Macaca fascicularis: one gene and its partner. The protein of the gene in region 1 interacts with the protein of each later gene in a pairwise test. Links are inferred from orthologs where the notes say so. Each region holds a gene or a part of one and is shown on either strand. Other genes may lie near its edges.

Region 1 (16,023 bases):
AGGGCCTGGGCCAGGGGCTGAAGTTGAGCTCTGAACAAGATGCTCAGAGTTGAGGAAAGCACGTGAGCATGCACATGCACATGCACACACACACACCCACGCACGCACACACACACTCACACACATGCACACACACGCAAGCACAGACATGCACACACACACACCCGCACACACATGCGCGCACACACGCACAGACACACGCACTCGCACATGCACACACACACGCACCCACAGACACACGCAATCGCACATGCACACACACACGCACCCACAGACACACGCACTCGCACATGCACACACACACGCAAGCACAGACACATGCACTCGCACATGCACACACAGACACATGCACCTGCACACATGCACACCCACACACACGCACATGCACCCCTATACACATGCACACACACACACGCACCCGCATATGTGCACACACACGCACGATAAAATAAGAGGATTGCTGCTGTATGCAGCAGAGGTTGAAAGAAATACCATAGGTCAGAGAATTCGAGAGTAGCTGGAGTGCGCTCTCCTTCCTCTTGGACAATAGCCTTTTACTTCCGCTTTCGTTCTGGGTGGTTTCTCAACAACTGCAGCTTCCTGGACTCCAACAGGGCACAGGCAATTTCCTTTTCTGCCTTTTCCACAATCGCCAAGGGTTCCATAGAGCGTTCTGATGAGTTCTGTGAGACTAGGGTCTCTGGAGGGACAGGGCACTATTGCCACGTGTTTGAGAAGGCTTGGTGGGGATCATCCTTAACCGGCAGTAATTTTCATAGGACTCTGATGAGGTAACAAAGCAGTCGGAACATTAGGCATGATTTCCTGTGTTTTAAAGCTCAAGGAGGAGTATTTATGGAGCCTGGCTGGGGTCCATAAGTGTCAGCAAGGGATGCCGCCATGTGAATTCTGTGCCATTGGGACAAATCGTTCAGAGTCAGCCCTCATTAGTTTTAAGTAGTCACAGAAACAAATGTCTCCTCTGAAGCGGGAAGTGGGGGTCTCACACCTCCCAGCAGTGTCCAGGCTCCTCCGGAAAACACACGAAGAAGGAAATAAAAGAACCAACCACGCTGACTCCCTCGGTGCCCACATCCCCCCAGGACTCTTCCCTCCTAGCTGTGAGCGAATGGGGTGAGGACATGGCCGATGGTGCTAACAAGTCAAAATGGTGTTTGATGCTTTGAGAATCTTGGCATCAACCAGAGATTGGGCAGAAGGGCAGGAGATGAGGTCTGGGAGGTCAGCAGAGCCACCAAGCCACCCGACTCCAATCCTACAGGGTTCCATTGGCTTCCTTCCCCTTCTACTTCCGTTTTTCTCCTGCCTTGCCGCTCATGGTAGCTGGCCCTCAGTGCACGAGAGAACATGTCCACAGACACAAAGAACAACACTGCCCAACAAAACACGCAGGCCTTCCCCAGCTCTGGCAGACCTCAGGCCAGAAACACACAGCCAGTGTGTTTGTGACGAGCTGAATGGAAATATCACAGGAAGGGGCTCCAGATAGAATCCCATTGACAATTCCTATGCCACGAAAGGGCCCTTCTCTGATGTGCTTCTTGTGGAGGGCTCTGCTCTCTTATTTTTATTTTTTATTTTATTTATTTTTTTGAGATGGAGTTTCACTCTTGTTGCCCAGGCTGGAGTGCAATGGCACGATCTCGGCTCACTGCAACCTCCGCCTCCTGGGTTCAAGCAATTCTCCTGCCTCAGCCTCCCTAGTAGCTGGGATTACAGGTGTGTGCCACCACGGCTGGCTAATTTTTGTATTATTAGTAGAGATGGGGTTTCGCCATGTTGGCCAGGCTAGTCTCGAACTCCTGACCTCAGGTGATCCACCCACCTTGGCCTCCCAAAGTGCTGGGATTATAGGCATGAGCCACTATACCAGGCCTGAGGGCTCTGCTTTCTAGCAGGGGTGTGTGGCTTTTTCGCTTCTAGGTATTTGCCCAGGTAGGTGTTCAATAACTATTTGCCGAATGAATAAATGAATGAATGAATGAATGAATCTATTCTACATGTCAGTTTCTTTATTGAAGGTACAAATATCAAACTTGACTCAGACAGGTTGGCAAAGGGACACGAAAAATTTAAACTTGAATTCCAAAAGTGTACAGGTGCTCCCCAACTTACAGTGGGATTGCTTCCTCATAAACCCATCCTAAATTGAAAATATCATAAATCCAAAATGCACTCAGGTCAGGTGAGGTGGCTCATGCCTATAATCCCAGCACTTTGGGAGGCCGAGGAGGAGGGGGTATTGCTTGAGCCCAGATGTTTGAGACCAGCCCGAGCAACATAGTGAGAACTCATCTCCACAAAAAACTTTTTAAAAAAGCAAAATTAGGCCAGGCGCGGTGGCTTATGCCTGTAATCCCAGCACTTTGGGAGGCCAAGTCGGGCAGATCATGAGGACAGGAGATCGAAACCAGCCTGGCCAACATAGTAAAACCCCGTCTCTACTAAAAATACAAAAATTAGCAGGGTGTGGTGGCGCGCGGCTGTAGTCCCAGCTACTTGGGAGGCTGAGGCAGGAGAATCGCTTGAACCCAGGAGGTAGAGGCTGCAACGAGCCGAGATCGCCCTGCTGCATACTAGCCAGGGTGACAGTGTGAGACTTCGTCTCAAAAAAAAAAAAAAAAGCAAAATTAGCTGGGCATAGTGGTGTGAGCCTGTAATACTAGCTACTTGGGTGGCTGAGGTGGGAGGATCACTTGAGCCCAGGAGTTGGAGGCTGCAGTGAGCCAAGGTTGCACTAGTGTACTCCAGTCTGGGTAACACAGCAGGACCTTGTCTCAAAAAAAGAAAATAAAACGCATTTAATACACCTAATCTACTGAACATCATAGCTTAGTCTAGCCTACTTTAAACACGCTCAGAACACTTACCTTAGCCTACAGTTGTGCAAAATCATGAAAAACAAGCCTATGTCATAATAAAGTGCTGAAAACCCTATGGAATTTATTGAACACTATACTGCAAGTGAAAAACAAAACGGTTATACTGGGGACTGGAAATACGGTTTCTACTGAACACAGATCGCTTTCACACGGTTGGAAAGTAGAAAAATCATGTCAGACCATTGTAAGTTGGGGAGTGTCTGTACTCACTCAATATATGACCCCAAGCCTTGTGGAATGCCACGTGGGGGTCTATTATGTCCTTCCATAGCCAAGAATAGGTCTAGCAGGAACTCCGGTTCCTTTGAGGATACCGACAGTTTCACTTTCTTTTGTTTCTCCATCCTCCCCCATCCCCCCCACCCCACCAGCCTGCCAAGCCCGCCCAGCCAGCAGGGTCTTCTCGTGCCCTCCTCTCTCCGTCTCTGGCCCCAGCTGGTCGAGATGAATACAGCGTCAGTGTCTGAGCCACAGGGATATTCCAAGGTCCAGCCTTGTGAAGCCTTCTGATCCTTGTCTTCCCTGCCTTACTTCGCTCTATCCTTCTCATTTCAGCCCTGGCTGGATTTTCCTGCTGTGTGGTTACATGTCAGGGTCCTGGAGCCAGACCTCCTGGGTCCCACCCCAGTTCCAGCAGCAATTAGTGCTGCGCCTGTGGCAAGTTGCTTGTTTCTTTTGATTTCAGCTGCCTTAGTGTAAACAGGAATAAGAACAGCACGTGCCATAGTGTCGCTGTGAGCATTTACTATGAAGCACTTTCTTCTTTTTTTTATTTTTGAGACAGGGTCTCGCTCCATCTCCCAGGATAGAGTGCAGAGGCGCAATCTCAGCTCACTGCAACCTCCACCTCCTGGGTTCAAGCGATTCTCATGCCTCAGCCTCCCGAGTAGCTGGGATTACAGGCACCCACTATCATGCCCGGCTAATTTTTGTATTTTTAATAGAGGCAGGGTTTCACTATGTTGGCCAGGCTGGTCTCAAACTCCTGACCTCAGGTGATCCACCCGCCTTGGCCTCCCAAAGTGCTGGGATTAGAGGCGTGAGCCACCGTGTCCGGCCCACTGTGAAGCCCTTTCACACTGTCTGCCACACAACAACTACGGTTGGGGCTTAGAAAATGTCACCCCAATATCTGGCACTTTGGCATACTAAGTACTGTAAACTAAAGAAGACTGGAGGCCTCAAAAGCAAGGTCTCTGTGACCGCCTCCTGACCTCCTGTCTCCAGCCCCTCCTTCTCCCCTGAGGCAGTCACAGAACAATAATTCCTCCTTTGGCCGGGGTGGCTCAAGTCTTTAATCCCAGCACTTTGGGAAGCCGAGGCAGGTGGATCACTTGAGCCCAGGAGTTTGAGACCAGCTTGGGCAACATGGCAAACCCTGTCTGTATAAAAAATACAAAAATTGGCCGGGCGCGGTGGCTCAAGCCTGTAATCCCAGCACTTTGGGAGGCCGAGGCGGGCAGATCACAAGGTCAGGAGATCGAGACCACAGTGAAACCCCATCTCTACTAAAAATACAAAAAAAAAATTAGCCGGGCGCGGTGGCGGGCGCCTGTAGTCCCAGCTACTCAGGAGGCTGAGGCAGGAGAATGGCGGGAACCCGGGAGGCGGAGCTTGCAGTGAGCCGAGATCGCGCCACTGCACTCCAGCCTGGGCAACAGCGTGAGACTCCGTCTCAAAAAAAAAAAAAAAAAAAAAATACAAAAATTAGCCAGTCATGGTGGTACGTGCCTCTAATCCCAGCTATTCAGGAGGCTGAAGTGGGAGGATCACCCGAGCCCAGGAGGTTGAGGCTGCAGTGAGCCATGATAACACCATTGCACTCCAGCTTGGGTAACAGAGCAAGACCATGTCTCAAGAAAAAAAAAAAATCCTTCTTCTCCAAGGTGGGTCACAGAAACTAGAACCTGTGTCTCCAAAGTAGCCATAAAACCTAGAAAGGTGGCTCTCCCCCTTCTCTCCTTGAAGACCTCATTACAGAAAGGTTCTACCCTGTAACCAGGAGGAAGGAATGCTGCATGGAGAGGCTAGGAAGACTCTGGACAAGCCTTGTTCATTCTCTTTTTACCCAACTGCATTGCTACAGGGCTGTTCATTCTTTTTATTTTTTTCTTTTAATTTTTTTATTTTGATTTTATTTTAATTTTATTTTTATTTTTATTTTATTTAAAAAAAAATCTTTTTTTGAGACAGAGTCTCACTCTGCCACCCAGGCTGGAGTGCAGTGGCATGATCTCAGCTCACTGCAAGTTCCACCTCCCGGGTTCACACCATTCTACTGCCTCAGCCTCCCGAGTAGCTGGGACTACAGGCGCCCACCACCACACCCGGCTAATTTTTTTGTATTTTTAGTAGAGATAGAGTTTCACCATGTTAGCCAGGATGGTCTCGATCTCCTGACCTCGTGATCCACCTGCCTCGGCCTCCCAAAGTGCTAGGATTACAGGTGTGAGCCACCGCGCCCGGCCTCAGGGCTGTTCATTCTTCCTTGAAACTAAGCACAAAAACAGACAGATTTCCCTGGGACTTTGAGTCTTCATCTCTGAAGCCTCCCATGTCACATAAAGCTTTGCTTAACTAAACTTGGTATGCTTTTCTCTTGTTAAGCAGTTTTGTTTTTTTTTTACAGGCATGTCAGCTGTGACCTTTATGATGGGTGAGGAAAGGTATCACACCCTTCCACCCCTACAGTACTTAGTAAATGTCAGCTTTAATCCTAGGAGTTGTTTTGCTTTTTTTTTTGTTGTTTTGACATGGACTCTCACTCTGTTGCCCAGGCTAGAGTGCAGTGGCATGATCTCAGCTCACTCCAACCTCCACCTCCCAGGTTCAAGCAATTCTCCTGCCTCAGCCTTCCAAGTAGCTGGGACTACAGGTGCACGCCCCCATACCCAGCTAATTTTTGTGTTTTTAGTAGAGACAGGGTTTCATCATTGTTGGCCAGGATGATCTCAAACTCCTGACCTTAAGTGATCCACTGGCCTCAGCCTCCCAAAGTGTTAGGATTACAGGCATGAGCCACCGCGCCCGGCCTGTTTTTCATTTTCTCCTTACAAAGTGATCACAATTTTATTATATACCTAAAGGCTTGGATTAAATCCCTCTAGAATCTGGAGTGTATGAGAAATATTTTTTAGAAGGAAATTGATCAGGTCAGGCACTGTGGCTCACGCTTGAAATCCCAGCACTTTGGGAGGCCGAGGCAGGCGGATCACCTGAAGTCAGAAGTTTGAGATCAGCCTGGCCAACATGGCAAAACCCCATCTCTACTAAAAATACAAAAATCATCTGAGCATGGTGGCACTTGCCTGTAATCCCAGCTACTCAGGAGGCTGAGGCAGGAGAAAAGCTTGAACCTGGGAGACAGAGGTTGCAGTGAGCTGAGCTCACACCGCTGCACTCCAGCCTCGGTGACACAGCGAGACTCCATCTCAAAAAAAAGATAAGTAATAATAACATAATATTCTAATATTGATCACTTACTGAGAAATTACTCTCTTCTAAGTACTTTACTGATAACAATGATTAATTACCAATAATGAACTAATAATAATAGCAACCAGTCCTAAATCAAACTGGATGTAGCCATTTGGCTGGTCTCTAATTTACCCACTCATTACAACGGCAGATGTTGGATGGCCCTTCCCCCTAGACTGGGGGCATCTGTGCCTCCTAAGAGGGTATTAAGTTAGGGCTATGGGCCCTGCAGCCCTGCAAAACTCTCCTCGTCCATCCAGAGAAACCCTTTCTTTGCATTTGGAGAGACTATGGGACTTAATAATATCTAAGGACTCACCCAGGCAGTTTTGTAGGTTCTCACCTGGTTTCCCCCATCCTAGGAACAAGACCAAGTGCTCAGGTGTACCCTGAAGGTGTCCATACCTAGGTGACACTAAACAAAAGCTGGTGTTCTCTAAAGGAAAGTAGATGTTAGGAAGGGACCTGGAGGTAGTGTGGATTAATGTTCTTGTTGGGGTGGGGGGATGCTGTGGTCAACAATCTTTAAGAGAGGTGCCAGGCGAGGCAGGAGACAACCCATTCTTTCCTCATGCACAATTGGGGGAGGAATTTCTTTTTTTTTTTTTTTTTTAATTTTTTTGAGACGGAGTCTCGCTCTGTCGCCCAGGCTGGAGTGCAGTGGCGTGACCTCGGCTCACTACAAGCTCCATCCCGCTGGGTTCACGCCATTCTCCTGCCTCAGCCTCCCGTGTAGCTGGGACTACAGGTGCCCACCACCACGCCTGGCTTTTTTTTTTTTTTTTTTTTTGGATTTTTAGTAGAGACGGGGTTTCAGTGTGTTAGCCAGGATGGTCTCGATCTCCTGACCTCGTGATCCACCCATCTCAGCCTCCCAAAGTGCTGGGATTATAGGCGTGAGCCACCGCGCCGGCAGGGGAGGAATTTCTTATGGTTTTTCAACTAGAGTTTTCTAAAACTTTTGGTATGCTGATTAAAGTGGGCTCCCACTAATTTGGCTCCTCAGGTGTTGTTTTTTGTTTGTTTGTTTGTTTGTTTTTCCCAGACAAGGTCTCACCCTGTCGCTCAGGCTGGAGTGCAGTGTCATGCAGCCTCCGCGGTTCAAGCGATTCTCGTGCCCCAGCCTCCTGAGTAGCTGGGACTACAGGTATGCACCACCATACCCTGTTAATTTTGGTATTTTTAGTAGAGATGGGGTTTCACCATGTTGGCCAGGCTGGTCTCGAACTCCTGAGTTCAAGTGATCCACCCACCTTGGCCTCCCAAAGTACTGGGATAACAGGGGTAAGCCACTGCGCCCAGCCTCCTCTTATGTTGATAATAACAATAGCTTGTGTGTCCTGCCCATTTACTAAGTGCCAGGCACTGTTCTCTCCTAGACCAAACGGTAGTTAGGCTCCTCTGAGTCCTCAGCTTGACTAGGCCTTGACTTTGGACCTCTGTGTCTTCCTGTCCTTGCTGGGCCTGAGCCTGCATAAACCAGTTTCAGCAAGAGTCCTGCTAAGTTAGCAAGAACTCCCCCTTCCTTGATGTCTCCTCCCAGGAATCTTCCATCCCTGGTTCCCTCACTCTGCACTTTAGCTATAAATCCCTCCTGGGTCCTTGTTGTATTCAGTGTTGAGCCCAAACTCTCACTCCATGGCAATAACCCTACAGCAAGTCTTGAACAGTACTGGTTTAACTGTCCCAATAACGTTTTCTTTAGCAACAGCGGTTAGCTCATTTACTCTCACAAGGATCATATGAGGTAGGTATCCTAAATAGCCCATTTACACAGGGAAGTGGGAAGGAGAGAGGGTGCCCCCAAGGACGAGACACAAGCTGTTGCCACATCAGCACTTTGCGCCTGGACGGTACCCCAGTTGTCCTGGCTGCAGGCAGTCCCCACAGCCCGCTTCCTGGAGTATTAGCCAGGCAAGATACGCCCTGGGCGACAGAAACTCCGACTTTTGCCAGAGGCCCCCAGGTACTGCCTGGGCGGTGGCGGGAGCCTGGAGCTTGGCGGAAGGCGCGCCTGCCGACGCCGTCTCCTAGCAACCGAGCGGCGGTCACGTGACCCGCTCCAGCCCGCTTCACGTGGTCCGGAGCGGCGCTGGGGTTGGAGTCGCCGCAAAGGGCGGGGCGGGGCCGGGCAAGTTTGTTCCCCGAGTTCGGAGCCCAGGAGCCCCCGCGGCTGCCGCGCAGGTGCCCTCGGCCTGGGTCGAGATGGAGCTGCCTGCTGTGAACCTGAAGGTGGCAACGGGCTGGGGATGGGGGGTCCCCTTTGCGGGAGGAGGTGGGACATTTGCATTTTCCAGGAAGGTGGGAGGATCGGGAGTTTGGGGGAAAGAGGGATGGGAGGAAGGGAAGGTACAGACCTCACGCGAGAAGGAGGTGGGCAGGCAGGCCACAGCAGGGAGAGTGAGTCAGGCACAGGCCAGCAGGGCGACGCAGAGGGGCCGTTGGAGGTGGCAGAGGAGGGCAAGGGCCGCCCCTTCCCGGACTCAGACCCTCCAGCAGGCAGCGCTGGTCCCAGGATTGCTGTTGCCCGCATGCCCAGAATTCCCCTGGAGGAGGAGGAAGGCGCGCGGGAGGGGCTTGGAGGCGGCTCACCTCCCCCGCGCGGGGTCAGGGACTGGGCCTGCCCCCGGATCCCAGCACCGTCCCAGGACCTCCTTATTTGCTAAGTCGGGTTCAGGAAATCTGATGTTCCCAAGCAATTGGTTTTATTTTATTTTATTTTATTTTGTTGAGACAGAGTCTTGCTTTGTCGCCCAGCCTGGAGTGCAGTGGCCGGATCTCAGCTCACTGCAAGCTCCGCCTCCCGGGTTCACGCCATTCTCCTGCCTCAGCCTCCTGAGTAGCTGGGACTACAGGCGCCCGCCACCTCGCCCGGCTAGGTTTTTGTATTTTTTAGTAGAGACGGGGTTTCACCGTGTTAGCCAGGATGGTCTCGATCTCTTGACCTTGTGATCCGCCCGTCTCGGCCTCCCAAAGTGCTGGGATTACAGGCTTGAGCCACCGCGCCCGGCCAGCAATTGGTTTTATAAAATTTACACGTCCAGCGCCCTTATTTCATAATGAAGAAGCACAAACTCCCACAGAAATTACTTAAAAGCAGAAAACCCCAACTTTGTGCACTGGGGAAAACGTTGCAGGGCTTCCTGTGGTGTCTTCATTTCCCGAGCCAAGCCGTGAGCTCAGTCCGGGTCTGGGTGCCAGCGGCTGTTCTTCTTTTTCTCCCCACCCAGCACCGTCGCCCACGTGTCTGGGCTCCGTTTGCATGAGAGGGGCTAGGAGCTTTAGCTTTGGTCAGGAAGGTGTGGACCTTGGACCAAACCGGCCATTTTGGGTCTTAGTGCATCCTCCTTTGAGGCAATATCTAGGAATGTCCTCTTACTCATAAGTGACGAAGCATTTAGCTCCCTGTTGGTGTCTGGCAGTAAAGGAACCTGAGAGATAGATGGTTACAAAACAATGGCTTAATACACTTTATTACACAACATCTGTGCTGACTTGCCATGGGCCCGTTTCCCTTCTTAATCATACTTGCTTCAGCAAACCTTCCTGAAGCTTCCAGTCCACGGTGGTGGGGAGACATGGCTGGAGCAGGGAAATGGGCTTGGGTGGAACATTCAGCTGGGAAGAAATTTACGTGACAGCAACCGAAGTTTGTTGGTATCAGTACCCACTCTATTCCAGGCAACATGGGGTTAACACCAACTGCCTTTTCTCTGATGAGGGATTTGCTTAAAATAATTGCTGAGAGAGGATCAGGTGAGGGCGGTGGGAGGGATAGAGCTCTCATTTATGGGCTTCTGTGGTGTGCCAGGTTATATAATCAAGGCAGCCTTATGAGAAAGCTGATGTGGTCATCTTTTTACAGATGAGCAAACTTCAGCTTAGACTGGGTAAGTTGCCAAGGTCCCACAGGCAGTAAGTGGCAGTATCAGGATTTGAACCCATAGGGCTCAGACTCCAGGGCCAGGTCCTTTCTGGGGTACCAGCTTAGTTAGGGCTGACTTTAACCTTGGCTGTTTCTGTCTTTTGGGAGGGCTTAGTCTCTTAGGGGCTTTTTTGAGCAACTTTTTAGGCCCGACAGGCTAAGCGCATCCACAAGTATGAGCTATGCTGGGCAGCTCAGCCAGGATGAAAAGGCTGGTCCTCCCCTTGACTTGGCAAACAAGATCCCCCATCTCCAAGGGTGTCAGCCGCTACCAGTCAGAGACAACTAAGTGCTGGGTGGCCCTGAGGGGTCAGGGTTGCCAGGTCAGGTACAGGAGATCCAGGTGAATTTGAATTTCAGGTCAACAACGAACAGTTTTTTAGTATGAGTAAGTCTCAGGCAGTATGTGGAATATATTAACAAATTATTCATGATCTCATATTGGGAATTAACTGGGTGTTCTGTATTTTTGTTTGCTGAATCTGGCCATCCTGTGGAGAGCAGCCGTTGACTCCTTGCTTGCAGGCACTTAGGGGATGTTCTGAGATCAGAGCCCTTCAGGAGGTGGGGAACTGCTCCCTGCGGCCTGCGCTCCCTCATTTTGTATATTCCTTGGGCAAGGGCTGAGTGCCCGCTTCTGCCCAGCTCAACCAGAGTGGGCGGTGGTGCCAGGTGAGAAGAAACAGCTGCCCCAGGCCCTTTGCACAAAGGGCAGCCCCTGACTGAGCCTTGTCCATGTAAGAATGACATTGTGGGCCAGGTGTGGTGACTAAGCCCTGTCCATGCAAGAATGACATTGTGGGCCAGGTGCGGTGGCTCACTCCTGTAATCCCAGCACTTTGGGGGGCCAAGGTGGGTGGATCACGAGGTCAGGAGATCAAGACCATCCTGGCTAACATGGTGAAACCCCGTCTCTACTGAAAATACAAAAACAAAATGAGCCGGGCATGGTGGTGGGCACCTGTAGTCCCAGCTACTCGGGCGGCTGAGGCGGGAGAATGGCATGAACCTAGGAGGCATAGCTTGCAGCGAGCTGAGATCGCGCCACTGTACTCCAGCCTGGGCGACAGAACGAGACTCCGTCTCAAAAAAAAAAAAAAAGAAAAGAAAAAGAATGACATTGTGATGAGCTTAGAAAGTACTGGACTTGGGTTCAGAGGTCTTGTGGGAAGAGGACCTTGGGAGGAGGATCCTTTGGTCTAGCAGGTAGTGTAGCATTAGGGTTAAGAACTCAATAATGAACTCAGTAATGAGGGATGCAGGGCTGACTTCCTGACAGGCACTGTGTGGAGCGCTTTCCACACCTCTCCACCTCCCTGTACCACTGGATCCACACAACACTGAAGAAGGCATTATTGCCCTGCTTTACAGAAGAGCAAACAGCTGTTCTGAGAGGTCAGGTGACTTGCCCAAGGTCATTAGGTTCTAAAGTCATGGAGCCAGGATCAGATCCACCCGTTTGCCTCCAGCACCCACGAAGTTAACCGCTGCACGACTCTGCCTCCCATCTGTGGCAGCCCTGACTGGTGTCCCGGGACCCCGGCCACCCTGGGGGATCTCACTAGCACATGTAACGGGCCACCAAGTGTTTGCACAGGCCTGGTAGGAGTATATTCCATTTCTGGGAAGTCCTACCCCGCCATGGGTCCTCTAGTGGCAAACAAAGGGTTGAAGTCTTGGTCTTCATGCCTCGTTGGTTTCTCTTCGACCTTTCCTTCTCCAGGTTAGACTTCCTTATTTCCATCCGCCCTCTACGGCTCTTCGAGATCCTGGCGGTGTAGCACAGTGGACAGAGCACAGGCTTTGCGGGCAGGCAGGTCTGCATTCAAGGTCTTGAGTAGGTTTCTGTGTGACCTTAAGTAGGTTTCTGAACTCTCTCAGTATCAATTTCTTCCTTGTAAAAAGAAGATAAATACAGTCCCTACCTCCTAGGATGATGGATCCCATGGTCCAGGAGGTAGTCTAGAATTAGGGTCACAAATTCAGGCTGGGCCAGGCATGGTGGCTCACGCCTGTAATCCTAGCACTTTGAGAGGCCCAGGCAGGTGGATCACTTGAGGTCAGGAGTTTGAGACCAGCCTGGCCAACATGATGTAACCCCATCTCTACTAAAAATACAAAAATTAGCCGGGTGTGGTGGTGCTCGCCTGTAGTCCCAGCTACTCAGGAGGCTGAGGCACCGAGGATCACTTGAACCTGGGAGGCAGAGGTTGCAGTGAGTTGAGATCGCACCACTGCACTCCAGCCTGGGCGACAGAGCAAGACTCTGTTTCATAAAACGGACAAACCTCCGGCTGGATAGATCGAATCTAACATTTGTGTCTGGGCTCTGTTGTTTGTAAGCTTTATGAATATGGGCCACTTTACTTAATCTCTCAGAGCCTCAGTTCTACCCCATACAGTTACACGGATGACATGAGTTAGGTGCAGTGCAGGTTAGATGCATGGCAGGCAGGTGCTTGTCAGTAGCAGGAGTTGCTGCTCTTGTTGACGATACAGGATCCCTGTCCCACATAGGTATTTAACAGTTAGTAAACGGATACTTACAGTGGCCGTCCAGACAGATGCTTGTCTCTGGCAGTTGAGGCACCCTGTGGGACAAATGGGTACTGCCTCCATTTCGCGGAAGGGAGCCTGAGGCCTTGGTGCCTGGACCAGCACCCAGGTCTTCTGTTCCAACATAGCATCCTGGGACCCTCTGCTGCCTTGGCCCATTGACCCCTGTCTGGGAAAGAGCTGGGCGGCCTCCCCTGGGCTGAGCACTGTAGTGAGAGTCCAGGGGCTGAGGTCCGTCTTTCCTGCCCAGCTGGGAAAGGGGTCCTGGCCCTGCCACCCATTTAGCTCAGGTCCTTCCCCTGCTTCCAGCTCCTCTTTCAGGCAGTACCTGAGAATCCTGTTTCTCTTTGGCTACCAGGAAGCTCTCCCAGGGCCAGCAGACAGTGCTTTTGTCCCGACAGTTACTGGCCCCTCTTTCCCTGGGCTGCCAGGAAGGGCAGGGCCCGTTTGGCTCAGTTTCTCCCTGGAGCCTTCCTGCACATTAAGGCCTCTCTGGGTGTCCTCCTGTTACAAAGATGAGGAAACTGAGGCAGGGGAGGCTTAGGCTTCTGGACATTTCTTTTCCCAGGGACTTAAGAGAAGCACATGGTGCTAACTTTCTTCATGTTTATCAAACCAAAGTGACATCACGCAGAAGGGACTGTGTGTGTTCTAAGGATCTGCAGTATTTCCAGGTTACATCGTTTTCTTCCCTAACAGAGATGGCAGAGGTGTGGACCCAGCTGGGTGCCCACTGTGTGCTACAGGCCCTTCCAGCGCTACGAGGTCTTTATCTCACAGGTTGTAAGCGTGACCCTTGGGGTGCCCTGCAGATCAGCGGCCCCCGTGGGACTCAGCCTTTCATGCTAACTGCATTCTCTCCAGAATAATCCAGGGCTCTGCAGGGCCCATTTATTAAAGACCTTTTGTGTGCACAGTCTAGGCATAGGAGCCAGAGCATTGAAAATGAAGATCATTTCCAAAACAAGCCCAGAGTGGGAAGAGTTAGGTGTCGATTTGGGGGAGGAAAAGGGCGATGGGAGCTACCTCCCCTCTGTCTCTTTCCTCGGTGTCTTCTTTAAGTCTAAAAGCTAGATGTTGGGACCACTGTGGCCGACTGCGCAGTGTGGCCCTGAGCAAGTTCCTTTCTGTCTGTGGTCCGTGGTTTACTATCAGACAGAGGAGACAGCGGTTAGCTCTGAAGATAAAGATCAGAATCATCCTCATGCCCAGCCCTGCCTGCCCCCAACTTCCTGTCCCTCCCTCCTCTTCCTTCCACTCACCTTCCACTCCAGCCACACTGGCTTCTGTTCAGTTTCCAGAAAGTTCCATGCCCCCCTTCTGCCACAGAGCCTTTGTGGGTGCCATCCCTCCTGCTCAAAATGCTCTTCTTCCCCTTCTGCCTCCCCCATCCCTTCCTCAGAGAAGCCCCTGACCTCCCCACCCTCCCAGCCTCCCTGCTGTTCAATTAGGTGCCCTTTAGCTTGCTATAGCTTTCCTTCAGGATGAGGGTTCACTGCACCTCCACTGCTAGGGCAGAGTACCTGGTTAGCGATGTTAGTCCTGAGAGCACAGCTCCAAATCTGCTCTGCACACCTCTGACTCCCCAGGGTGGATGAAAAGCAGGTGCCAGTGATGCTGGGTGACACTGAATGTTTAAGAAACTTAACACCATTTGATCACTTCAAGCCCCTAGGAATTGAAATCCATGGAAAACTATACCTCCCCGCCTCAGTTTCCCCATCTTTGTAATGGGGAGAGGCCTGATGGCTGGACAACACAGCCTGGGTCTGAGTCCTGGCTCTGCCATTGGCCTGCTCTGTGACCTTGGGCAAGTGACTTCCTTCTGAACCTCAGTTTTCTCAGCTGTAAAATGGGGATAATAAGACCTCAGAGGATTGTGAGGATTTAGTGCTTTTATATACAGAAAGCACTTAGAATGGCACCTAGCACGTAGGGAGTGCCCAATAGTAGACGAAGGTAGGTGAGGCGATGGCAAAGATCCCTTCTAGAGCTCGCCTTCTGTAAACACACTACTCAGCCTGGTCAGAGTCTCGAGATCTTCTTTTTTTTTTTTTTTTTTTTTTTTGAGATGGAGTCTCTCTCTGTTGTCCAGGCTGGAGTGCAGTGGCCGGATCTCAGCTCACTGCAAGCTCCGCCTCCCGGGTTTACGCCACTCTCCTGCCTCAGCCTCCCGAGTAGCTGGGACTACAGGCGCCCGCCACCTCGCCCGGCTAGTTTTTTGTATTTTTTTTTAGTAGAGACGGGGTTTCACCGGGTTAGCCAGGATGGTCTCGATCTCCTGACCTCGTGATCCGCCCGTCTCAGCCTCCCAAAGTGCTGGGATTACAGGCTTGAGCCACCGCGCCTGGCTGAGATCTTCTTAAAGTTTTGTGCGTCGGTCCTTACAGAATTATTTTCCTAGTCTTTTGGAGCTGGGAGAGGAATTTCTTTTGGGCCACAGAGCCAGGCCCCTTGTGGTTCACTCTGGCCCCCGGTCCTGGAGGTAAAGGTGAAGTATCTCAGCCTCCAGCTCTGGATTCCATCTGCCCCATGTGTGAACCTTTCTCACAAGCCCAAACAGTTCCCAGCTGAAGGCCCGCGTCCCCAGCGGGGAGGTTGGGTGCACTGGGTTTGGAGGTGGGTTTGAAATTTAATTCCAGTTTTGCCACTTGCTACCTGTGGAGTCTTGATCAACATAATTTATCTTTGAATCTTGTTTTCTCATCTGTGAAATGGGAATAATAGTATCTGTTCCAGAGGCTGCTGTGAGGTCCAGATAAGGTCATGTGAGACGGTTGGCATAGGGCCTGGCACATAGTTGGTGTGTGGTCAAAAGTAACTCTTCTAGAAATGTTTTTTCTCCTCTGCCAGAGCGAGTTTGTCTTTCTTTCTTTTCTTTATTTCCCTCTTTCCTTTCTTTCCCTTCTTTCCTTCCTTTCCCTTCCCCTTCCCTATCCTCTTCCCCTTCTCCTTCCCCTTCCCCCCTCCCTTCCTTCCTTCCTTCCTTCCTTCCTTCCTTCCTTCCTTCCTTCCTTCCTTCCTCCCTCCCTCCCTTCCTCCCTCCCTTCCCCCCTTCCCCCTTCCCCCCTTCCCCCTTCCCGCCTTCCGTCCTTCCCCCCTTCCTTCCTTCCTCCCTCCCTTCCTCCCTCCCTCACTCCCTCCCTTCCCCCCTTCCCCCTT
Region 2 (15,873 bases), on another chromosome or scaffold:
TATGTGGTTTAACAAGCCCTTTCAATAAATACTTGGCGGACAGATGCTAAGGTTGACTCTCTTAGAAGAGCTGCCCCCGCCCCCGCCCTGCTCAGCTGGAATTGTCTGAGAACTCATTCTTGGCGTTCACTGCAAGCTATAAGCTCTACACCAATACTTTGGGAGACCGAGGCAGGTGGGTCACCTGAGGTTAGGAGTTTGAGATCAGTCTGGCCAACATGGTGAAACCCTGTCTCTACTAAAAATACGACAATTAGCCGGGCGTGGAAGCAGGTGCCTGTGATCCCAGCTGCTCCAGAGGTTAAGGCAGGAGAAGTGCTTGAACCTGGGAGGTGGAGGCTGCAGTGAGCCAAGATTGTGCCACTGCATTCCAGTCTGGACAACTGAGTGAGACCCTATCTTAACAAAAAAAAAAAAAAGAAAGAAAAAAAATCATATATAGAGACATGGACACAAATCCTATAGGAGAACAGATGGGAAAGCAATGAGATATGGGGAATCCCAGACACCGTAAGCATTGTAAAAGTCTCACGGAGGAGGTGCCTTTGGGCTGGGTTCCAAAAACTAGGTAAGTGTTCATGAGGTACAGAAAGTGGGGGAAGGGCGTTCCAGGCAAAATGAAAAGACCAGGAGACATGAAGTCATGAAAGAAGTGCAGCTGGCCGGGCGCGGTGGCTCATGCCTGTAATCCTAGCATTTTGGGAGGCCAAGGCGGGCATATCACGAGGTCAGGAGATCGAGACCATCCTGGCTAACACAGTGAAACCCCGTCTCTACAAAAATACAAAAAATGAGCCAGGTGTGGTGGCAGGTGCCTGTAGTCCCAGCTGCTGGGGAGGCTGAGGCAGGAGAATGGCGTGAACCCGGGAAGCGGAGCTTGCAGTGAGCCGAGATCGTGCCACTGCACTCCAGCCTGAGCGACAGAGTGAGACTCCGTCTCAAAAAAAAAAAAAAAAAAGAAAGAAATAAAGAAGTGCAGCTTAAGGGTTTGGTGTGTATGAATAGGGAAATGATAAAGTAATTTGAAGATAGTCTGTGAAGAACTTCATAGCCTTGCTTAAGATATTGGATTTTACCTTCAGGGTGGTAAGAACCTGACCATCTTCTTGTTAACTCATTTATAAGTTAATATGTTTTATTATATAATAATACAAATGAATATAATATAATACATAATATATACTATACTACATGATATCAAATATAACGTATCTGTATGTTAACTTATTAACAATATACACAAAAAAAGTTGGTCATTTATTACAACACAAGAAGGAAAGGCTGGGCATGGTGCCTCACGCCTGTAATCCCAGCACTTCGAGAGGTCGAGGTGGGTGATCACCTGAAGTCAAGAGTTCAAGACCAGCTTGGCCAACATGGTGAAACCTCGTCTCTACTAAAAATACAAAAATTAGCCGAGCGTGGTGGCGCGTGCCTGTAATCCCAGCCACTAGGGGGCGCTGAGGCAAGAGAATTGCTTGAACCCAGCAGGTAGAGGTTGAAGTGAGCCCAGATGGCGCCACTGTACTCCAGCCTGAGCAACAGAGGGAGACTGTCTCAAAAAAAAAAAAAAGAAGAAGGAAAAATCTATTTAAGATTAAAATCTGACCCGACGTGGTGGCTCACGCCTATAATCCCAGCACTTTGGGAGGCCGAGGCGGATGGATCACTTGAGGTCAGGAGTTCAAGACCAGCCTGGCCAACATGGTGAAACCCCATCTCTACTAAAAATACAAAAATTAGCTGGCTGTGGTGATGTACACCTGTAATCCCAGCTACTAGGGAGGCTGAGACAGGAGAATCATTTGAACCTGGGAGGCAGAGGTTGCAGTGAGCTGAGATCATGCCATTATGCCATTGCACTCTAGCCTGGGCGACAGAACAAGACTTCCTCTCAAAAAAAAAAAAAAAAAAAAAAAAAAAAAAAAAAAAAAGATCAGATGGGCGTGGTGGCTCACGCCTGTAATCCCAATACTTTGGGAGGCCAAGGCGGGCGGATCACCTGAGGCTGGGATTTCGAGACCAGCCTGACCAACATAGAGAAACCCCGTCTCTATTAAAAATACAAAATTAGGCCGGGCATGGTGGTTCACACCTGTAATCCCAGCATTTTGGGAGGCCGAGGTGGGAGGATCACCTAAGGCTGGGAGTTCGTGACCAGCCTGACCAACATGGAGAAACCCCATCTCTACTAAAAATACAAAATTAGCTGGGCCTGGTGGCGCATGCCTGTAATCCCAGCTACTCGGGAGGCTGAGGGAGGAGAATCACTTGAACCCCGGAGGGGCGGAGGTTGTGGTGAGCCAAGATGGTGCCATTGCACTACAGCCTGGGGCAACAAGAGTGAAACTCCGTCTCAAAAAAAAAAAAAAAATCAGCCGGGCTGGGTGGCACATGCCTATAATTTCAGCTACTCCGGAGGCTGAGGCAGGAGAATCGCTTAAACCCAGGAGGCGGAGGTTGCAGTGAGCCGAGATCCTGCCATTGCACTCCAGCCTGGGCAGCAGGAGCAAACTATTTCTCAAAGAAAAAAAAAGATTAAAATCTACTTACAAAGTATTGTTCATGGCACAGAGCTACCATGACTTCCTTACAGACAATGTATCAAATACGATCAATTCAAGTCCACCCTGTCAGTTACTGCTTGTTTTTAGAGCAGCTGTACAGAACATTTCAAGGAGAGATGGCTCTAACAAGACCAGTATACACACTAGTAAGACAGAGACAAAATGCCTTTTCTTACTGAAAACTCACTTTTTAAATTTGTTTTTTTTTTTTTTTTTTGAGACGAAGTCTTGCTCTGTCTCCCAGGCTGGAGTGCAATGGCACGATCTCTGCTCACCACAACCTCCGCCTCCTGGGTTCAAGTGATTCTCCTGCCTCAGCCTCCCAAGTAACTAGGATTACAGGTGCCCGCCACCATGCCCAGCTAATTTTTTGTAATTTCAGTGGAGACGGATTTTCACCATGTTGGCCAGGCTGTTCTTGAACTCCTGACCTCAGGTGATCCTCCTGCCTCGGCCTCCCAAAGTGCTGGAATTACAAGTGTGAGCCACCATGCCTGGCCTAAAATTTTAAAGTAGAGAGGGGGTCTCACAATGTTGTCCAGGCTGGTCTTGAACTCCTGGGCTCAAGCAGTCCTCCTGCCTTCACCTCCCAAAATGGAATTACAGGCGTGAGCCACCACATCTGGCCTACTAAAAGTTTTTTTTTTTTAATTTAATGCATCCCACTGAAAAGTTTTTTTTTGGTTTTGTAATTTGTTTGGTTTTGTTTTTGTTTTGAGACAGGGTCTCACTCTGTCACCCAGGCTGGAGTGCAGTGGCACAATCTCGGTTTGCTGCAACCTCCACCTCCCAGGTTCAAGTGATCCTCCCACCTCAGCCTCCCCAGTAGCTGAGACTACAGGCCTGAACCACCATGCCCAGCTAATTTTTTTTTTTTTTTTTTTTTTTTTTTTGAGACAGAGTCTCACTCTGTAGCCCAGGCTGGAGTGCAGTGGCACAATCTCAGCTCACTGCAACCTCCGCTTCCGTGGCTCAAGTGATTCTCGTGCTGCAGCCTCCTGAGTAGCTGGGACTACAGGTGTGTACCACCATGCCTGGCTAATTTTTCTTTTTGTATTTTAGTAGAGATGGGTTTCACCATATTGCCCAGGGTGGTCTTGAACTCCTGAGGTCAGGTGATCCACCTTCCTCGCCCTTCCAGAGTGCTGGGATTATAGGTGTGAGTCACTGCGCCTGGCTGCTAATGTTTGTATTTTTAGTAGAGACTGGGTTTCACCATGTTGGTCAAGCTAGTATTGAGCTTCTAACCTCAGGTGACCCACCCGCCTCAGCCTCCCAAAGTGCTAGGGTTACAGGCATGAGCCACCGCACCCAGCCATAATTTTTATTTTGAGATGGAGTCTCACTCTGTCACCCAGGCTGGAGTGCCACCCAGGCTGGAGTGCAGTGATGCAATTTTGGCTCATCACAACTTCCGCCTCCCAGGTTCAAGCAGCTCTCCTGCCTCAGCCTCCCAAGTAGCTGGGATTACAGGCACGCACCACCACGCCCGGTTAATTTTTATATTTTTGGTAGAGATGGGGTTTCATCATGTTGGCCAGGCAGGTCTTGAACTCCTGACCTCAAGTGATCCTCCCACCTTGGCCTCTCAAAGTGCTGGGATTGCAGATGTGAGCCACCACGCCCAGCCTGAAAAAGTTTAAATAAATAAATAAATAAAAATTTGAGGGAAGTGTTCAATTAGTGCCACATATTTTAAATGTACTTGGATCTTGAACTGTTATTTTAAAATATTATTTTTAGGGCCAGATTTCTGTTGTTATTTTTACTTAACTGGCTTCCCGAGCTTTGGTCATGAAACTGGGAGCCTTTGTTAGACAATTGTTTCCTGTGGCATGCATGAAGGGCTGTCTCTCCACATGAGAAGCAAGTCTACGGAAAATTTCCATAATTTGGAAGGCTGATCCTTATGACGTTTCTTGGGCCATCATTTAGAACCTTCATGAACCATTGAAGGGGTTCATGCTCTTTCACTCTGCACGGCATTTCTCACTTTGAGGAATCCCTGTCTTCTGGCTGCTCCTAAATTGCGGCTGCTTCCAGAGATAACTGTCTCTCTTTTCTAGGCTCTCCCCAGGGCCATCCAAAGTTAATTTTAGGGTTGGCCAGGCACGCTGGCTCACACCTGTAATCCCAGCATTTTGGGAGGCCAATGTGGGCAGATGGGCTGAGCTCAGAAGTTCCAGACCAGCCTGGGCAACGTGGCAAAACCCCGTCTTTACTAAATATACAAAAATTAGCAGGGCATGGTGGCGAGGGTGCCTTTAGTCCTAACTACTTCAGCTACTTGGGAGACTGAGGAGGAAGGATGGCTCGAGCCCGGGGAAGTCAAGGATGCAGTAAGCCAAGATCGCTCCACTGCACTCTAACCTAGGTGACAGAGCAAGACCCTGTCTCAAAAGAAGAAAAAAAATTGTTTAAAGGTTGCCATATGCTCTATATTTTAAGTCAGACCACCCCAAACAAACCTCCCAAATTTGGTGAAAATCAATCCAACCATTTTTAGTCATTTGGTAATAGAAAAAGAGAAACTTAATTTATAAATTTACCTTTCTTAATAAATAAGAGTATAAAATTTAGTTCCTTAACAACAACAGAAGAACAAAAGACAAAAGACAACAAGAGAGATCATCCTGCAAACAGCATAAGTTAACAAGACGAAAGGCAGAAGCAGAAATGTCTATTGCAACCGTGTGAGAAATGATCAGCCCCTATAAAGGACTGTAGTTCTGGGCCAGGTGCGGTAGGTGGCTCACACCTGTAATCTCAGCACTTTGGGAGGCTGAGGTGGGTGGACCACTTGAGGCCAGGAGTTCATGACCAGCATGTCCAACATGGTGAAACTCCGTCTCTACAAAAAATACAAAATTAGCCGGATGTGGTGGCAGGCACCTGTAATAGCACCACTGCCCAGCCTGGGCAACAGACGGAGACTCTGTCTCAAAAAAAAAAAAAAAAAAAGGAAGGACTGTAGTTCTGATAGGTTTGGAAAGAGGAATGATACAGACCAGGCAAGTTAAGATTTATTAGATATGAAAAGGAAGGAGAGGCAAGAGAAATGTTAAGCATCAGCTAGCTGTGCTGGGCACTGACTAGGCCCTTCGTCTATATAAACACTTTTCCTTTTCTTCCTTTTCTTTTCTTTCTTTTCCTTTTTTTTTTTTTTTTTTTTTTTTTGAGAGGGAGTCTTGCTCTGACACCCAGGCTGGAGTGCAGTGGCACGATCTCGGCTCACTGCAACCTCCGTCTCCCGGGTTCAAGTGATTCTCCTGCCTCAGCCTCCCGAGTAGCTGGGACTATAGGCGCACGTCACCACGCCTGGCTAATTTTTGTATTTTTTTAGTAGAGATGGGGTTTCACCATATTGGCCAGCCTGGTCTCAAACTACTGACCTCATGATCCACCCTCCTCAGTGTCCCAAAGTGCTGGGATTACAGGTGTGAGCCACAATGCCCATCATCTTTTCTTTTCTTTTCTTTTTTTTTTTTTTTTTTTTGAGACAGTCTCCCTCTGTCGCCCAGTCTGGAGTGTAGTGGTATGATCTCGGCTCACTGCAATATCAGCCTCCCGGGTACAAGCGATTCTCATGCCTCAGCCTTCTGAGTAGGCAGGATTACAGGCACCCACCACCACGCCCGGCTAAATTTTTGTATTTTTAGTAGAGACGGAGCTTCACCATGTTGCTCAGGCTGGTCTGGAACTCCTGACCTCAAGTGATCTGCCCACCTTAGCCTCCCAAACTGCTGGGATTACAGGCCTGAGTCACTGCGCCTGGCTCACAAACATATTTAACTATCCATAGATCTGAGAGGCAGGTTTTATTAACTCCATTTTATAGATCAGGACGCAGGCTTAGGTAAGGTGTGGCGCTATGTCTCCATAGGAGGTGGGCTGGGCCATTTGCAGTCAATGTTGGCCAGTTTTATGATGAAATTTATGACACAAAAGGGGTGTATTCACCTTTGGTATAGTATGGCCCAGGTTATTATTGCACAGATTGAATAAGATCAGTCTTCGTGTGTTGTCGTGTTGCACTGGAGGGCTATCAAGTGTGACCCCAATATATTTTTTTCTTTTCCTTTTTCTTTTTTTGAGACTATAAATCTCACTCTGTCACTTAGTATTAGGAGGACACGTTTTTCTTAAGTACCAGAAGAGTTGGTACCTAGAAAGAAATTACTCTTCAGAGTGGTGAATTATGTTGGATTTTAGGCACATTAGGCCTAAGCCAACACGACCTCCTCTAGGCGCCCTTACCCCTTCCCACAGATGGCCTAGAATTCTTTTCTGTCCAGGGGTCAGGAAAAACAAAGTTGAGAAGAAATTCGTTAACGTTCTTTGAATGCTTTAAAAGGGGAAATTTGCAAGACTAAAGAATGGATTGGAGGGGAGGTAGGTTTGGAGGAAGAAGGGGGTGGGGCCCTGAAAAGGCTTCAAGGAGCTGCTCTCAGCTGGAAGGGGATAAGCATCTTCTTGGAGAACTGTGGCATCTGGTTGGAACACCTACAAAAGCTTAAGCAATGAGGTTGTGCCCCTCTTGCAGTACAAAGCTGAAAATTATCCAAGCCAAGGGCAGATATCTCAATGTCCTTGTTACTCCATATGGCCTTGGGATTCTCCTATGGCCTTCCAGTAAAGAGCTGCTGGGTCCTGGCAAGGCTGTGGCAGTGGTGGGGTTGGGGTTAAGGATAATCCCACTTGGCCAGTGGCTGGACAGTCACCCATGTCTCTACTGTGGACCACAGGACAGCGAAGGCACCAATCGGCAGACAAGTCCCAGGTGGGAGCGAGTATAAGGATGTGTCTCCTTTTCTTCCTTCTAGAGGGTAACTGAGAGGATATGGAGGGAGCATGCATGGTGGGAGGCTGAGGATTGCCACGTTCGTTTCTTGAGTTATTGTTTGCTGTTGGGGCCCTGGGATTCTGATTGAGATCTGTAATTCTGAAGCCTTCTCACTCTTCCTGGCAGATGGCCTGTGTTTCAGTATTGAGTTTGTAAGGGTGCTATTTATGAGGCAGGAAAAGGAAAAAAAAAATGTGTTGTTGTGTTGCACCTCAGGGCTATCAAGTGTGACCCCAATATATTTTTTTCTTTTTCTTTTCTTTTTTTTTTTGAGATTATAAATCTCACTCTGTCACTTAGGCTGGAGTGCAGTGGTGAAATCACAGCTCACTGCAGCCTTGACCTCCCACCTCAGTCTCTCAAGTAGCTGGGACTACAGGCACATGCCACCACTCTTGGCTAATTAAAAATAAAATTTTTTTAAAGACAGGGTCTCCCTGTGTTGTCCAGGCTGGTCTCAAACTCCCTGGCTCAAGTGATCATTCGGCCTGGACCTCCCGAAGTGCTGGGATTACAGGCATGAGTCACCACACCCAGCCTACCACAATATTTCTTAAATCTCAGTGGCCAGACCTGGAATAGGTTGCTATTCAAAAGCAGCTTGTAGTTTTTGTTTGTTTGTTGTTTGTTTTGTTTTGTTTTGTTTTATTTGAGACAGTCTCACTCTGTTGCCAGGCTGGAGTGCAGTGGTGTGATCTCGGCTCACCGCAACCTCTGCCTCCGGGTTCAAGCAATTCTCCTGCCTCAGCCTCCAGAGTAGCTGGGATTACAGGCACGCGCCACCACGCCCAGTTAATTTTTAGTGGAGACGGGGTTTCACCATGTTGGCCAGGATGGTCTCGATCTCTTGACCTTGTGATCTGCCTGCCTCAGCCTCCCAAAGTGCTGGCATTACAGGTGTGAGCCACCGTGCCCGGCAGCAGCTTGTAGTTTTCTGATTTATGTGTTTTTTTTTTTAACTTGGAAAAAAATCGTTCTCTTAGGACGTATGATTTGTGTTTAAATGAAGACTGCTCTTTTATTTGGGAGAATCCTCTCCCAGTACTTGAGCGGGCTTCTTGGTTTGGCAAAGGCAAAGCCCAACACTCATAGTGAGTGGAAGGGACAGACGTAACTGAACTGCTCTGCACAATAATGCCAATGGTTGTCTTTTGTTAATAGGAGTCCTGACTCTGATTACATTTACGGGGAGTCCAGCCTGAAATATGTCGGGATAGAGGTAGAGGGAAAAGTCCCTTCTGTTGACAGCTTGCCAAAGGTGTTAAAAGTAAAGGGATGGCCTTGAGGTGAAGAGAATTCCTTTGCGAGACAGGCCAGGGACTATAGATGCTGCATAATCTAATAGCCACTTCTAAGTCTTCTCAGCTTTGTAATGCCCCAAACTTTCAGCAACAGCCTGGTTGGTGTTTGCTATGCTTAGGGGAATAAGGGAGGGGGCTGTGTCCACACTTAAGATTTGCTTCCATCCTCTAGGATATGACCCCAGCCCCCAGGCCAGAGTGGTGGTAGCTGCAGGTGTGTGGCTGGTGATTCTGAAGCTCTAGGTGGTGGCTTGCAGCAGAATTCTGGAATTTTTTTTTTTTTTTTTTTTTTTTTTTTGAGACAGAGTCTTGCTCTGTTGCCTAGGCTAGAGTGCAGTGATGTGATCTCCGCTCACTGCAACCTCCACCTCCCAGGTTCAAGCAATTCTCCTGTCTCAGCCTTACAAGTAGCTGGGATTACAGGAGTGTACCACCATGTAGCCACCATTAGCCATGTCTGGCTAATTTTTGTATTTTTCTTTTTTAGTAGAGATGGGGGGGTCTCACCATGTTGGCCAGGCTGGTCTTGAACTCCTGACCTCAAGTGATCCGCCTGCCTTGGCGTCCCAAAATGCTGGGATTACAGGCATGAGCCCACCACACCCGGCCTGGAATGCTGTCTATTGAGGAAAGGAAGAGGCTGAACTGGGGAATGCCAGGGTTGAAGTTCAAGCAAGTGTAAAACTCTGGCCTTAACTGAATCACGAGTAGGAAACAAGTTAGTCAGGAATGGATTTGTGGGGCATGAAAACCTTTGAGGATTCTCAGGATTGTTTGGAAGAGGGGACTGAATTTTCTGTCACTAAGTAGGGTGGGATTTGTTTTCAGTTGGTAATTTTTTGATGGGGTGCGTCAGGGTCCCACTCTGTCACCCTGGCTGGAATGCGGTGGCATGATCACGAGTCAGTGCCGCCTCAACCTCCTGGGCTCAAGCAATCGTCTCACCTCAGCCTACCAAGTAGCTGGGACTACAGGTGCATGCCACCACACCCGGCTAATTTTTGTATTTTTTGTAAAGACGGGGTTTTACTATGTTGCACAGACTGGTCTCAAACTCCTAGGCTCAAGCGATCTGCCCACCTCAGCATCCCAAAGTGCTGGGATTAAGGGCAGGAGCCACCGCGCCCGGCCTATAGTTGACAATTAACTAGAAATGTGACGTTGGAATTATAGAGGGAGGGTAACGAGACTCATTACTAGCGCAGGGTAGGAGACATTAGTGGGCCGCAGGTTTCATCCTTAAATTTCTGTGAAGCCTTTCTTGAGGACATCTGTCCTTTCCTTCTCGCCCTCAGTGTGTGGTTTTCCTTTCTCTGGCTCCCACTGCACTCTGCACACACCTTTATCACAGTAACCACTTACAGTGTATTGTAACTTGTAATTATCTATGTACACGTCTCCAAGTAGACTGACCTCAAGGGCAAGGGACTGGCGCTGGTACTCAGACCCCGGGTTCAAGTTCCAGCTGCATCTCTAGCTAGTTTTGTGATCTTAGGCAAATAACTTAATCGCTCTATGACTCAATTTCCTTGACTTATAAAATTGGCATAAGACTGTCATATGCCGTTGCTGGGCATATTAAGGTTACAATGCATGAAAAGTACGAGGCAAAAGGTAAGTGCAAAATAAAGGGCGCCTAAAACGGTATTTGTGTGTTAATTAACCTGAGCTACCTTTACGTGTGCACTCAGCAAACACTGAGCACCTATTCTCCTCTGGGACCCTGGAACGCCTCCTCCGGTGTGGAGCAGCCTCACGTGAGGCCTGTGGGCCTTGTCCCACGGGCCGGCTCGGGATTGGCTCAGCCGAAGAGAAAACCCTGCCGACAGCCCTTTCGATCTCGTCAGCGATTGGGCCGGGACCGTCCCACAATTACTCTTGTTGCTGGGCTCGGAAATAGGTAGCGGTGCTAGGTTGCGCGTGCGCAGATTGAGAATGGAGCTTTCCGGTCGGGCGGGAGGAGGTGACGTCAGGAGTGGTGGCGGGCGGGGGCCTCTGGTAGCCCTGGGGACGCTGTATCTGTGGGCCCTTCAACCGCGTCACAAATCAGCGACCGAACTCTGGCGGTGGTGGCTGAGACGGCGAAGGCGGCAGCGGCGGCGACAGCTCTGGGGTTTGCGTCTCGGGGTGTGTCGGCCGCCGCTGCTGCTCGGGCCTGGTATGTACAGATGGCTGGTTAGGATTCTCGGCACCATTTTCCGTTTCTGCGACCGGTCGGTGCCCCCTGCCCGGGCCCTCCTGAAGAGGCGGCGCTCAGACAGGTGAGACCAGAGGGGGCTGAGCGCCGGCCTGGCCTTACCCCCTCCCCCACAGCAGGCTCCTCGGCCGTGATAGCTTTGATTCAGCCAGGCTCACCCGAAGCAGGTCGCCGGGATCCTAGTGACGTAGTCGTTCCCGCCGGGCTGTGGGGAGGCAGCTCCTGATGAAGGAGGAGCTGGTCGTCTTCGGAGCGGCCGGTGATGGCAGGGTCTTTGACATTCTTGTCAGAGGCCAAGCTGGTTGCTGATAACAAATGGGGCTTTGCCGCTCTTAGGCTGAACACTAACATTGAAGGAATACTGTCTTTGTTGTGGCTCACTGTTTACAAAGCACCCTCCCAAGTGTCATCTGCAGACATTAAGTGCAGTTAAAGGAAGTGAGATTCATAGCTTGCCCAAAGCCGTTTTGACTGCAAGTACTGTCCTTGCAGCAAGAAACAGCAGCTGTTTTCTTCTAAAACAGCTGTCAAACAGTCTGTGTGTTGGGGGCCAGAAGGGTTTTGTGCTTTAGAATTAGTGAATGAGTAAAAAGGCTTAGGTGCCTCACTCCTTTAAAACAATCACTAGTCTGTACTTTTAAATTCGGTTAAAATGTGGGGGAAACTCAAAGCTGTTCTTTTCTTTCTTTTCCTTTTGGTTGAGACGGAGTCTTGCTCTGTCGCCCAGGCTGGAGTGCAGTGGCGCGATCTCGGCTCACTGCAAGCTCCGCCTCCCCCCTCCCCCCGCCCCCTCCCTGGGTTCAAGCGATTCCCCTGCCTCAGCCTCCCAAGTAACCGGAATTACAGGCGTGCACCACCATGCCTGGCTAATTTTGTGTTTTTAGTAGAGATGGGGTTTCACCATATTGGCCAGGCTGGCCTTGAACTCCTGACCTCAAGTGATCCGCCCACCCCAGCCTCTGGAAGTGCTGGGACTGCAGGCATGAGCCCCTGCACCCGGCCCCAAAAGCTGTTCTTATTTAGCATCTACTCTTTGGAGTGTCCCATTTTTATTGTATCGACCTCCTTGCCTGAAAATCTAGAAAATAAAATACTATACAAATGCTGTGCCCCTCTCCAACTTTAGTGATCAAATGTTAATTTCTTTTTTTTTTTTTTTTTTTCCGGAGACGGAGTCTCGCTCTGTCCCCCAGGCTAGAGTGCAGTGGTGCAATCTCGACTCACTGCAAGCTCCGCCTCCCGAGGTCGCGGCATTCTCCTGCCTCAGCCTCCCGAGTAGCTGGGACTACAGGCGCCCAACACCACACCCAGCTAACTTTTTTTTTTTTTTTTTTTTTTTTTTGAGACTGAGTCTGGCTCTGTCGCCCAGGCTGGAGTGCAGTGGCCGGATCTCAGCTCACTGCAAGCTCCGCCTCCCGGGTTTACGCCATTTTCCTGCCTCAGCCTCCGGAGTAGCTGGGACCACAGGCGCCCGCCACCTCGCCCGGTTAGTTTTTTGTATTTTTTAGTAGAGACGGGGTTTCACCGTGTTAGCCAGGATGGTCTCGATCTCCTGACCTTGTGATCCGCCCGTCTCAGCCTCCCAAAGTGCTGGGATTACAGGCTTGAGCCACCGTGCCCGGCTAACTTTTTTTTTTTTTTTTGAGACAGAATCTCATTTTGTTGCCCAAGCTGAAGTGCAGTGGCACGATCTCGGCTCACTGCAACCTCTGCCCACTGGGTTCAGGCGATTCTCCTGCCTCAGCCTCCCTAGTAGCTGGGATTACAGGCTCCTGCCACTGCACCCAGCTACTTTTTTTTGTACTTTTTAGTAGAGATGGGTTTTCACCATCTTGGCCAGGCTGGTCTTGAACTCCTGACCTCGTGATCCACCCACCTCGGCCTCCCAAAGTGCTGGGATTACAGGCGTGAGCCACCGCGCCCGGCCACGCCCGCCTAATTTTTTGTATTTTTAGTAGAGACGGGGTTTTACCGTGTTAGCCAGGATGGTCTGGATCTCCTGACCTCGTGATCCACCCGCCTCGACCTCCCAAAGGCTGGGATGACAGGCGTGAGCTACCGCTCCCGGCTGTTAATTTCATTTTTTTAACTAAGCCTCAATATCAAGAAAAGTGGAAGAAGTGTTCATTTGTGGGAGCTTGAGAGAACAAGATGTCTAATACATTAGACTGAGAATGCAGGTTATTGATGAGATTGGTTGTTAACTAAATTGTATCATGTGTTCCAGAGATTCATGGTTTTGCCTTATTTTTCTCTCCTATCTTTCTGTAGGGTTGATGTGAGGATCATTTGATAATGATCATTTGATGTGGTGTAAAGTGCCTAAACTGATGCTTACTGTATATAAGGGTAGTGTTTGTCTATTCTACCCTGGGGCCTTTTGCAGAGTCTGGTGCATGATAAGCACTTGGTCCCTATTTATCGAATAAGGGAAAGCTAATTTCCTCTCCCTTGTCCTGTCTTTGATGTGAATCCCTGCTAGTCGGTGGAACATGGTTTGGTGATCAAAACCTTGATTTTTACTATACTTCAGATGTTCACATTCTTAATCCAAAACAACGCTTCTCGGTGTAAACCATTTTTCAGTCAAAATGAAGCCCAGCAGGGCTTGTTGGAATGTATAAAGCTGAGTTGAATAAAATCCTGGGATCTCATTTTATTCTATTCTTTTTTTTTTTTTTTTTTGGCATGTGTGAATATAATTGATCAGAAGGGTTCAGAGAGATGATAAGTAATATGATATGACCCTTTACCATTCTTGACATCTGGGTCCTGAAACTTTCCACAATTCCAAAGTTCTTTATTACCACCATAATATAGTTTGCGTGATAAAAATGAAGTTAAATATAACCCTTGATTAAGATTTGTCTTTTTTAACTTGTAGAAGTTTTTTTTTTTTAAACTCCCTTACACACAAAAGAAAAAACAATAAAAAAGAATTGTCTTTTAAGGCCGTTCATATTAATACTGTCACTTAAAGTAAAAGATGACTTTCTTTGGGGATCATTTCAAAAGGAAATTGTTTGTTTGTTGGTTTTTTTTTGAGACAGAGTCTCGCTGTCTCGCCCAGGCTGCAGTGCAGTGGCGCGATCTCGGCTCACTGCAAGCCCCGCCTCCCGGGTTGACGCCATTCTCCCGCCTCAGCCTCCGAGTAGCTGGGACTACAGGCACCCGCCACCACGCCCGGCTAGTTTTTTTTTTTTTGTATTTTTAGTAGAGACGTGGTTTCACCATGTTAGCCAGGATGGTCTCGATTTCCTGACCTCGTGATCCACCCGCCTTGGCCTCCCAAAGTGCTGGGATTACAGGCTTGAGCCACCGCGCCCGGCCTGTTTGTTGCTTTTAAATCATTTCTAGAGTGAAAGAGAAAATACTAGCCCTAAACTCTTACCTGGATTCATTTACTAGCTAAATGACTTTGGCCAGTTTTAAGTTTGTACTTTAACCAGATGCAAATTATTATTTGTTAAGAAGTTTGGGTCTCTCTCAAATAGTTGAAACTGTAGCAGTAAGTCTTCAAATGTGAAAAACCTACTATAGAATAGCATTCTCTCTTTTATTTTGCTTTTATTTTTATTTTTGTTTCTTTTTGAGACAAGGTCTCACTCTTGATTAGGCTGGAGTGCAGTGGCATGACCTGGGCTCACTGCAGCCTCAACTTCCTGGGCTTAAGTGATCCTCCTGTCTTAGCCTCCCGTGTAGCTGGGACCACAGTCTCGTACCACCAACGCTGGCTAATTATTTATTTATTTATTTTTTCATAGAGATGAGGTCTTACTTTGTTGCCCAGGCTGATGTCAAACTCCAAGGCTCAAGCAATCCTCCACTTTGGCCTCCCAAAGTGCTGGGATTATAGGCATGAGCCATTGCGTCCCACCAGCATTGTCTTTTAAAACATCAGTTGGATCTCATTTTATGACAAAGTGACAGAAGGGGGATGTGTTATATGAATAGTAAGTTTACATAAATGAATGTGTGCATAAATATATATATATTTTTTTTCTTTGTCTCTTTCAGCACTCTGTTTTCTACAGTGGACACTGATGAAATACCAGCCAAAAGACCAAGATTAGGTACTGAATATAAATTTTAAAAATTTTTAAATAGGAAAAATAAGGCCGGGCGCGGTGGCTCAAGCCTGTAATCCCAGCACTTTGGGAGGCCGAGACGGGCGGATCACAAGGTCAGGAGATCGAGACCATCCTGGCTAACATGGTGAAACCCCGTCTCTACTAAAAATACAAAAAACTAGCCGGGCGAGGTGGTGGGCGCCTGTAGTCCCAGCTACTCGGGAGGCTGAGGCAGGAGAATGGCGTAAACCCGGGAGGCGGAGCTTGCAGTGAGCTGAGATCCGGCCACTGCACTCCAGCCTGGGCGACAGAGCGAGACTCTGTCTCAAAAAAAAAAAAAAAAAAAAAAAATTTTTTTAAATAGGAAAAATATATGCATAGAACAAAATTCAAAAGGTAAAAAGTATGTGGTAAAAAGTAAGTATTGGCCAGGCGCAGTGGCTCACACCTGTAATCCTAGCACTTTGGGAGGCCAAGGCAGGCGGATCACCTGAGTCAGGAGTTTGAGACCAGCCTGGCCAACGTGGTGAAACCCCGTCTCTACTAAAAGTACAAAAATTAGCTGGGTGTGGTGGCAGGCACTTGTAATCCCAGCTACTCAGGAGACTGAGGCAGGAGAATGACTTGAACCTGGGAGGTGGAGGTTGCTGTGAGCCGAGATCGTACCACTGCACTCCAGCCTGGGGCGACAGAGCAAGACTGTGTCAAGAAAAAGAAAAGTCTCTTTCCTGGCCGGACGCGGTGGCTCAAACCTTTAATCCCAGCACTTTGGAGGCTGAGGTGGGAGGATCACTTGGGATCAGGAGTTTGAGACCAACCTGGCCAACATGGTGAAACCCCATCTCTACTAAAAATTAAAAATTAGCCAGGTGGCGCATGCCTATAGCCACAGCTA

Evidence for each region.
Region 2: the proteins of AGTRAP (region 1) and SENP2 interact in binary tests that used the Homo sapiens proteins (3 or more experiments, as listed by UniProt). The two-hybrid records come from large-scale screens. The link is inferred for Macaca fascicularis from reciprocal best matches to the Homo sapiens genes AGTRAP and SENP2.

What each region holds. Positions count from the first base shown.
Region 1 is NC_088375.1:223,068,896-223,084,918, reverse strand, and holds the start of AGTRAP (type-1 angiotensin II receptor-associated protein), read left to right. Parts: upstream 1-8,509; 5' UTR 8,510-8,585; coding exon 8,586-8,612; intron 8,613-16,023. UniProt on the Homo sapiens protein: Appears to be a negative regulator of type-1 angiotensin II receptor-mediated signaling by regulating receptor internalization as well as mechanism of receptor desensitization such as phosphorylation.
Region 2 is NC_088376.1:97,508,810-97,524,682, forward strand, and holds the start of SENP2 (sentrin-specific protease 2), read left to right. Parts: upstream 1-7,056; 5' UTR 7,057-7,087; coding exon 7,088-7,347; intron 7,348-10,766; exon of another isoform or gene 10,767-10,871; coding exon of another isoform or gene 10,872-10,972; intron 10,973-14,925; coding exon 14,926-14,981; intron 14,982-15,873. UniProt on the Homo sapiens protein: Protease that catalyzes two essential functions in the SUMO pathway.